2 linked regions of the Tribolium castaneum genome follow. The protein of the gene in region 2 purifies or fractionates together with the protein of the main gene of each other region. This does not show direct contact. Links are inferred from orthologs where the notes say so. Each region holds a gene or a part of one and is shown on either strand. Other genes may lie near its edges. The genes, in order: raptor and mTor.

The links.
Region 1: the proteins of mTor (region 2) and raptor purify together in Drosophila melanogaster (affinity purification with western blotting; 3 studies listed by BioGRID, with this or other methods). This does not show direct contact. The link is inferred for Tribolium castaneum from reciprocal best matches to the Drosophila melanogaster genes mTor and raptor.

The regions. Positions count from the first base shown.
Region 1 is NC_087399.1:3,466,061-3,470,565, forward strand, and holds the start of raptor (regulatory-associated protein of mTOR), read right to left. Parts: upstream 3,086-4,505; 5' UTR 2,929-3,085; coding exon 2,773-2,928; intron 2,724-2,772; coding exon 2,621-2,723; intron 2,576-2,620; coding exon 2,334-2,575; intron 2,283-2,333; coding exon 1,903-2,282; intron 98-1,902; coding exon 1-97. Other genes in the region: EKC/KEOPS complex subunit Tprkb, read right to left, coding at 3,163-3,669.
Region 2 is NC_087399.1:3,310,558-3,314,234, forward strand, and holds the end of mTor (serine/threonine-protein kinase mTOR), read left to right. Parts: coding exon 1-163; intron 164-211; coding exon 212-666; intron 667-711; coding exon 712-1,306; intron 1,307-1,430; coding exon 1,431-2,768; 3' UTR 2,769-2,859; downstream 2,860-3,677. Other genes in the region: cytidine deaminase, read right to left, coding at 3,395-3,677. UniProt on the Drosophila melanogaster protein: Promotes cell and tissue growth, maintains tissue homeostatis and controls responses to environmental stress and aging. Regulates growth during animal development by coupling growth factor signaling to nutrient availability. Central regulators of autophagy.

The sequences.
Region 1 (4,505 bases), about 160 kb from region 2:
CTGTAACGTATTCCAGGCTATGGTGTCTGTAATTGCTGTAAAGATCCAATTAAGCTCACCGAGCATTGTGCGGCGGTCGGTTATTTGACCCGGTATTCTGGGAAAATGAAAGAAAAAATAATCTTGTCTTTAAGTCTTAAGTCTTTTTAGTCTTAAGACTAAAAATCAAAAGTAATTATGAACTTTTTTCTCTAAATTTTGCATCTTTTTATTTTAATTTTTGCCCAGTATTCATAATAAATAGTATAAACCTTGTAATTCAGCTCAAATGAGAAAGTTTAGTAATTAGTATTTATAAAAAAAAATTGAAACAAACTTTATTAAAACTGAAAAAAAAACTGTATAAACATGATTAAACTGAAAAACACTCAAGTACGGTGTTTTTATTTTGCCTGTCTATTATAGGACATACTAGATTTCCTACAATTTTATCCACAAATGTATTTATTCAGATAAATTATAAAAAATTACAAAAAAACATCGACCTTCTTTCCTTAGTAAATAGTAAACTATCACTTCTCTTATTCGTCTTATTGTCAGGAAGGTTAGTGAAAATAAAAATGATGAAACGCAAAAGTAAAACAGTTACACTATGGTCGAAAAATACTATTACTTTTTTTTATTATTTCTATTATTGTTATTATTAAATATTATTATAATATAATCATAAAAGTTGTCAGTCTTACAACGTTTGGAGATTTAAATTAAAAATTAAAAAAAAAGACACCCAAAAATTACTGATTTTTAAACGTAAAAACAAAAAATACAATATAAGAGGGTGAAGATTGAGGAAGCTGACGTATGTACAGCTTGAACGTGAGCTGTTTTAAAGGTTTGAAACTTTTTTTTAACCTTTTAACCACAATAGTAATTATGGATTTAATATTTTTGGAATTTTGGATCGAGGAAAATAAATAAAAAATACCGGATATTTTAGTGCAATTGAATGTTTTGTACTAAGTAATTCAACATAATTACCTGCTCTTTTGTTACAAAAAAGTGGCAAGGATTTCATGCGCTTTTTTCAAAACCAGTTAATACTTCATCAAAATGTGGATATTTAAACAATTTTCGTATTTGAACTCCGACAATACTCCATCTTTATTTTTGTATCGTTTAAATTTGGAAACTTAGAAGATAAAAAAACATCACCTTATTTATTCCATTAATAATATAATCGATTACAAAAATGTCGTGGTAAATAGTAAAATCGTAATGTTCTTAAGAGAAACAGCATTTTCGTAAATTACTTTTAAAATGTCATTATATTTTATTAAAGTGATTATTTTCAAAACTAAAAAATAGTTTCCAAGTGGAGATAATGGAATTTTAGACCCACTTTTATCTGTTTATGTTTCATAATTGGACCTGACCTTTTAATGCGGTTTGGGTCAAGTTCATTCTTTGTCATTACACCAGTTTTTTATAATTCTCGAAGGAGTAAAAACTGCTTTGCCAAGGAAAACAAACAAAAACAGCATTAGTTTTAAAGTGCGTAAAAATAAATTCTTCTAGCTATAATTAGAACGCAACAATAGAAATTATTTCAGGAACGCAAACAAAAATGCTTCACACTTTATTTTATTAATAAATAATAGATTAAGTCCGATGATAGGCAGGTAAATTACGTCTAAAAATAAATATTTAATTACCTAATGCAAGTGCGAGTTAATCTATATTTTTACGATAAGTTAATACCTTACTCTAGCGATATCAATCTGTTGTAAAACATATTTATCGGTGTAATTTTTCGAAGCCACAAATTACTGTTTAAAAATAATATGAACAGTCAATTTCATTTCGGTAAAAGTTCATTAACCGTCAAGTGTTTGCGTTTAGTCTGCGGTCCGCATCATTGCTCAACCTTGGCCCACTTCCAAGTCAAAACAAGTGGTTACTCACTTATCGATCAAATCCAGGGTGACTTTGGGCACTAGTTTTGAGGTAGACTGTAGAACGAACCATCTTAAGGCGACCTTGATTGGCGTAGTAAGGCAAGACGTGAACAAATCGGCCGGTAAATCAGGATTCATCGGTAGCACTTCCTTCGCCCCGCACGCCGCCAACTGTATGCAACTCTTATAGGAGGGCAAAGGCGCCACCACTGGATTTTGCCGCGACTGACTCGTGGCCTGCTCGTACTCGGCCTCGTGTTGGGCGGCAAACCGCTCGAAAGACTCGATTATGATCCCGGCGTTCGAGCAGTCGTAGACGTAGATCGAGGGCGCCCCCATCCACGTTTGCAGGTCGTAGATGGACAGGGGGATGTATTGCGTGTAGGTCTGTGTGAGAACTGGTTAGTAAAGTGCTGGGGCTAGTTGGGGGTTGTTTACTCGATTGAACACCCAGATTTCACCGTTTTCCGTCGGTTTAGGAACTCCATGACCGTTGTAGTGGAACAGAACGCGTTCCTCTTTGGCGTTGCGGCGCAGCGAAGTGCACAGTTTTTTGACTTCTTCCGAAGTGGGGTCCAGGGACTGCTTGTAGCGCGCGCGGGGCTGCCACCGCTCGTACTGCGCCTGCAGGTTCTCCCCGATTTTCTGGATCGACTTTGGGGCGGACAAGGTTAAGGGATCTGGAACACGACCTGAATTCCGCGAACGCATGCCGACCTAATTACCTATCCAGCACTCCAGACGCGCACATGGCTGGGTTTTCATCACGTCGGGCGGGTCCACGCCCACGTTCAGACACAGAACTAGGGCCACACTCACTGTTTTCATCTGGAATTTTGTAATTAAAACAAGCAACTTGTGGGCGGGTTGCAGTTACGCGTTCTTTCATGCGCCATGTCTGCGTTATGCACTCGACGCCCTCGATGGGCTCCAAGTGCCTGTCTTGCATGAAGCTCAGGGGCAGGTCCTTGTCGGAGACAGCCTCCTTGTCACTGTCTTTCTCGTCATTGCCGTTGACACCCAACTCTGTCATAGTTTTCAGCCGCGTTTTCGGGTTTTTTAGGAGTTGTGAAGTGGGATTTATTTAAGTCGTAACGATTACATCAAAAAACGGAATCAACACCTAAAATTTACACACGCATGGCACGACAACAAAACTGCCATCTTACTACCAACTGTTAGGGTTTTTCGTTCACTCGAGCGGGAACACCAAAATCAAACAGCTTTTAGAGCTTTTTTAATAATTTATTATCAATATTAAATACAATCAATGCGAGATAAAATCCTTAGTGGCTATCCTACTGACGACGGAGTCCACAATAGTGCTAGTCGCCCCTTCCTCAGGCCCAATCTTGTAAGCCTTCTTAACAGCGCCCAAATCCCGAATCTCCTCAAGTGCCCCCAACTCCACTTCCGTGCCTTTAATTTCAGAAAGAACGCGACTGTCGTCGTCGCCGACAGTCACCACCAGCAAGTCTCTACAGTCGTCAGTGATCCCAAACTGTTGCAAACTTTTCGTTATGTGTTTGGATACAGACAAATTGAATAAAATTTCAGTGAAAATCGTTTTAGTGGTGCGGTTTTTGGCAGTTAGGGCCTTGTTTGCGGCCACGACTAACTGGAACGGGTCCACAATCAACTTGGGGTTTACGAGACAACACTCAAGTTGACCTGACATTATTTTTTTACGCAAGTCGGACACGTTCTCAACACTGTGGAATAAACGGATGTTGAGGGTTTTATTCACGAGGGGGTCCAATGCCGCTTTAACCATTTTTTAACGGTGAATAATAAAAAATGTGGAATTGTAGGGTTAGGTTTATTGTCAGTCTCAGGCGAGAAATTCGCTACTGTAGAATCTGTAACGCACGAAAATGATTAATAAAATTACAAATAAAATTGTGCGTGTTTGCTGCTCCCACCCAATTATTGATACTCTCAATACAGTCTTTTGAAATTCCTTTAATAATTTAAAATAATAGGAATTTCGCGTTAGTAGCAAGTCATCCAAAATGACTGCTTGAGTTGGCCATCCTGGCTTAATAAAGTTCAATCAAGTGTCGCCACACGTTTTCGAGTTGGTAAAAAAATGATACACAGACTTTAAAATAACATTTTATTTTCTATTATTGAATTAAACAGTGTCTTGCTCTGTTAATGTAATATAAAAATGAAATGAGCATGAAGAATGCGTCCAATTGCCTACAGAAATCCGAAAATATTGCAACCTGCTATAGAAATTGACGATTCATTTATTACCTATTAAACTATGTTAAGTTATACAATTTATTTGGCGGTTCAAGTTCTCAATAGTAAAAAGGATCGTTCCGAATCAAAATGATAACAACAAGCGGATACATAGTAAAAAACCTAAAACACGTCTCGCAAACTGGGTAAAAAATATGTAATTAAACTTTGTATTAGAAATATATAATTCACAATATTGATGTGCTTACCCATATTTCAAAGGAAGCACATGGTTAAAAGATTGAATCTATGTACACAAGTAGCTGAAAAATCAGCACTTCTATTAACTGAACTGTAGCATTCAGTACTGAATGAACCAATTGATTGACTTAATAAATAAACTGCAAGAGAGGCTGTGCAAGA
Region 2 (3,677 bases):
GCCCACTTTAAAAGCCATGTGGTGGCAAAGGCTCCAATCGGGCCAAAAACTAGTCGAAGATTGGCAAAGAATCATCCAAGTCCATTCCTTGGTCTTGACCCCACAAGAAGACAAACGAACGTGGGTGAAATACGCGTCATTGTGTCGCAAGAGCGGTTCATTAGTAAGTTCATACTCACACTTGATATTTTTTCTACAGTCGGTTTGATAGATGCTATCGCAAAAAACCCTAGTCATGTTACTCGGTTACGACCCAAGCGAACGTCCCGACGCCCCCTTGCCCAAAAACCAGCCTCACATCACACTAGCCTACGCCAAACATTTATGGGTGGCACAGGAAAAACAAAAAGCGTTCCAAAAACTATCACAATTCGTCGCTGACTATTCGCAAAACGAGCCAAACGACGACGTGACAGTTGAAGAGAAAAAAAGACTCCTGGCTAGGTGTTACCTCAAACTGGGGGCCTGGCATGAGGCACTTGAAGGCATCAACGAAACCTCCATACCTTTCATTTTGAAGTGTTACAAACAAGCGACTGAACACGACCCTCAATGGTACAAGGCATGGCACGCTTGGGCCTATATGAATTTCGAAACGGTCTTGTATTACACGAGACAGGAGGACAAGACGCACTATACAGTCTTAGCCGTTCAGGGATTTTTCAAGTGAGTCGGTTAAAACCGTTTTTTAACCCTAATTGTTCGTTTCAGATCGATTAATTTATCTAAAGGAAGTTCATTGCAAGACACTTTACGTTTATTAACACTGTGGTTCGATTACGGCGATTGGCCCGAAGTTTACGATGCCATAGTCGAAGGCATTCGTTTAGTCGAGAAAAACACGTGGCTTCAAGTAATTCCGCAATTAATCGCGCGAATTGACACAACGGCGTTAGTATCGAAATTAATCAATCATCTATTGGTTGATATTGGAAAAACGCATCCACAAGCCCTAGTCTATCCGTTAACCGTCGCAACAAAAAGTAATTCAATCAGACGTAGAAATGCAGCTAATAGTATTTTAAAATCGATGAGTGAACATTCCCCTACGTTGGTAAGTCAGGCCATGATGGCCTCAGAAGAATTGATCCGAGTGGCAATTTTGTGGCACGAAATCTGGCACGAGGGACTAGAAGAAGCCTCAAGATTGTATTTCGGCGAACGTAACGTTAAAGGAATGTTGCGAATTCTCGAACCGTTGCATGCGATGATGGAAAGGGGGCCCCAGACGTTGAAAGAGACGAGTTTTAATCAGACGTACGGCAGGGATCTGAACGAGGCGCAAGACTGGTGCCAAAGATACAAGGTTTGTATTTTCACCTAAATATTTGCTTTTTTTGTCTTTATAGTCTTTATCAATGAGGAAAAATTAATTAAGTTTTGCTAAAAAAACCTGTGGCCACTTCACCAAGAAAAATTTGTTATTTCAGCTTTCGAGCAACATTAGAGACCTGAACCAGGCGTGGGACCTCTACTACCACGTTTTCCGCCGCATTTCGCGTCAATTACCGCAACTCACCTCCCTCGAATTACAATACGTATCGCCAAATTTGCTAGTTTGTCAAGACTTAGAGTTGGCAGTGCCTGGTAGCTACTGTCCAGGACAGCCAATCGTACGCATTGCCAATTTTAACCGATCTCTCGAAGTAATTACCTCAAAACAGCGGCCCCGAAAACTAGTAATTCGTGGAAGCAACGGCAAAGACTACATGTTTTTACTTAAAGGTCACGAGGATCTGAGACAAGACGAGCGTGTTATGCAACTGTTCGGTTTAGTTAATACTTTACTAATGAAAGACCCGGATACGTTCAGGCGGAATTTGACGATACAGCGGTATGCGGTGATTCCCCTGAGTACGAATTCGGGTCTGATTGGGTGGTTACCGCACTGTGATACGCTGCACACTTTAATACGGGATTATAGAGACAAGAAGAAGATTTTGTTGAATATTGAGCATAGGATTATGTTACGGATGGCGCCGGATTATGATCATTTAACCGTGATGCAGAAAATGGAAGTTTTTGAGCACGCACTTGAGCACACACATGGTGACGATTTAGCGCGGTTGTTGTGGCTGAAAAGCCCCTCGTCTGAGGTTTGGTTTGACCGGAGAACGAACTACACGCGGTCTTTAGCTGTGATGTCAATGGTTGGGTATATTTTGGGGTTGGGGGATCGCCACCCCTCCAATTTAATGTTGGACAGACTGAGCGGCAAAATCCTGCATATAGATTTCGGCGATTGCTTCGAAGTGGCAATGACTAGGGAAAAATTCCCGGAAAAGATCCCCTTCCGTTTGACTAGGATGCTAATAAACGCCATGGAAGTGACAGGGATTGAAGGCACGTACAGACGGACTTGTGAGTCGGTCATGTCCATGTTACACCGAAATAAAGACAGTCTGATGGCGGTGCTTGAAGCCTTTGTTTATGACCCCCTGCTTAATTGGCGATTGATGGATATTGAGGTGCGGAACTTGCCGATGAACAGCGATTCAATGTCGACGAGTTGTTCCCAAAAACAGGGCTCATCCGAATCGCTCAATGTTCCGAAACGCGAGATGATAATGGAAGATAACGAACCGCAACACGAAGTTAATGCCAGGGCGGTTATTATCATCAATCGAGTTAGAGATAAACTGACCGGGAACGATTTCGCTACGGAGGAACCTTTGACTATTCCTAAGCAAGTCGATCTGTTAATACAACAAGCGACAAGTAACGAGAACTTGTCACAGTGTTACATAGGCTGGTGCCCCTTTTGGTAACTCGACTGCTGCATCTAATACCGTGATAGTTTTTTGTTGTGTATCTTATTATTTTTTATATAATCTAGTTGAAATAAAGTAATTATTACAAGTGTGTGTTTAGGAGCGCAATAAACAACTAAGATTAATACAAACTTACCAAACGTGCGATTTGAGCGACTTTTTATCACTTAAAATTTTATCAAACTTTTTCAAATGACATAATTGACAAACTGAATTGCCAACCTGGCAACAAAAATACGTTTTCCACAAATAATTCGAAAAAACACAATTTTACCGTAAATAAAATAATATTTCGTGACCACTGATCAATTTTCGCACAAACTATTTTATTATTACAGGTTTTAAGGAACATTTTAGCAAACTTCAAAAAACTGTAGTTTTGCAACAAAAGACGATCAAACACGAAAAAACAAAAAAATTAGCATTTTTAGCGTTAAAAACGTGCAATTGTAATAAAAGTATATTGCAAGCTTACCTCAAATGAGTCTGGCCGTTTTTTTATCAAACGTAATCACTTTTTGTGATTAACAATTTTTCAAAATAACGCAATTGTTAGTCACCTGTCAGCAAACAAATTTTTGACAGCCGACAAATTTAAAAAGATTTGGTACATTTTAATAAATTTATTGATTAATTGTTGGTGACTGGAACTGGTGGGGCAAGAGTTGCCCCAAATCGGTCACAAAAACGTGCTCCAGGTCCGACTTCGAAATAAAAATTTTCATGTTGCCGTATTCGCTCATGAACTGCCTGCAGGCGCCACATGGGGTGGTGTAGACGTTTTCTTGGTTGCCTATCACAGCCACAGCTTTGAAACTTTGGAACCCTTCACTAATGGCCTTGGCTAGAGCCGTCCGTTCGGCACAAATCCCCACAGTGTAGGCCGAATTTTCAATATTACATCCC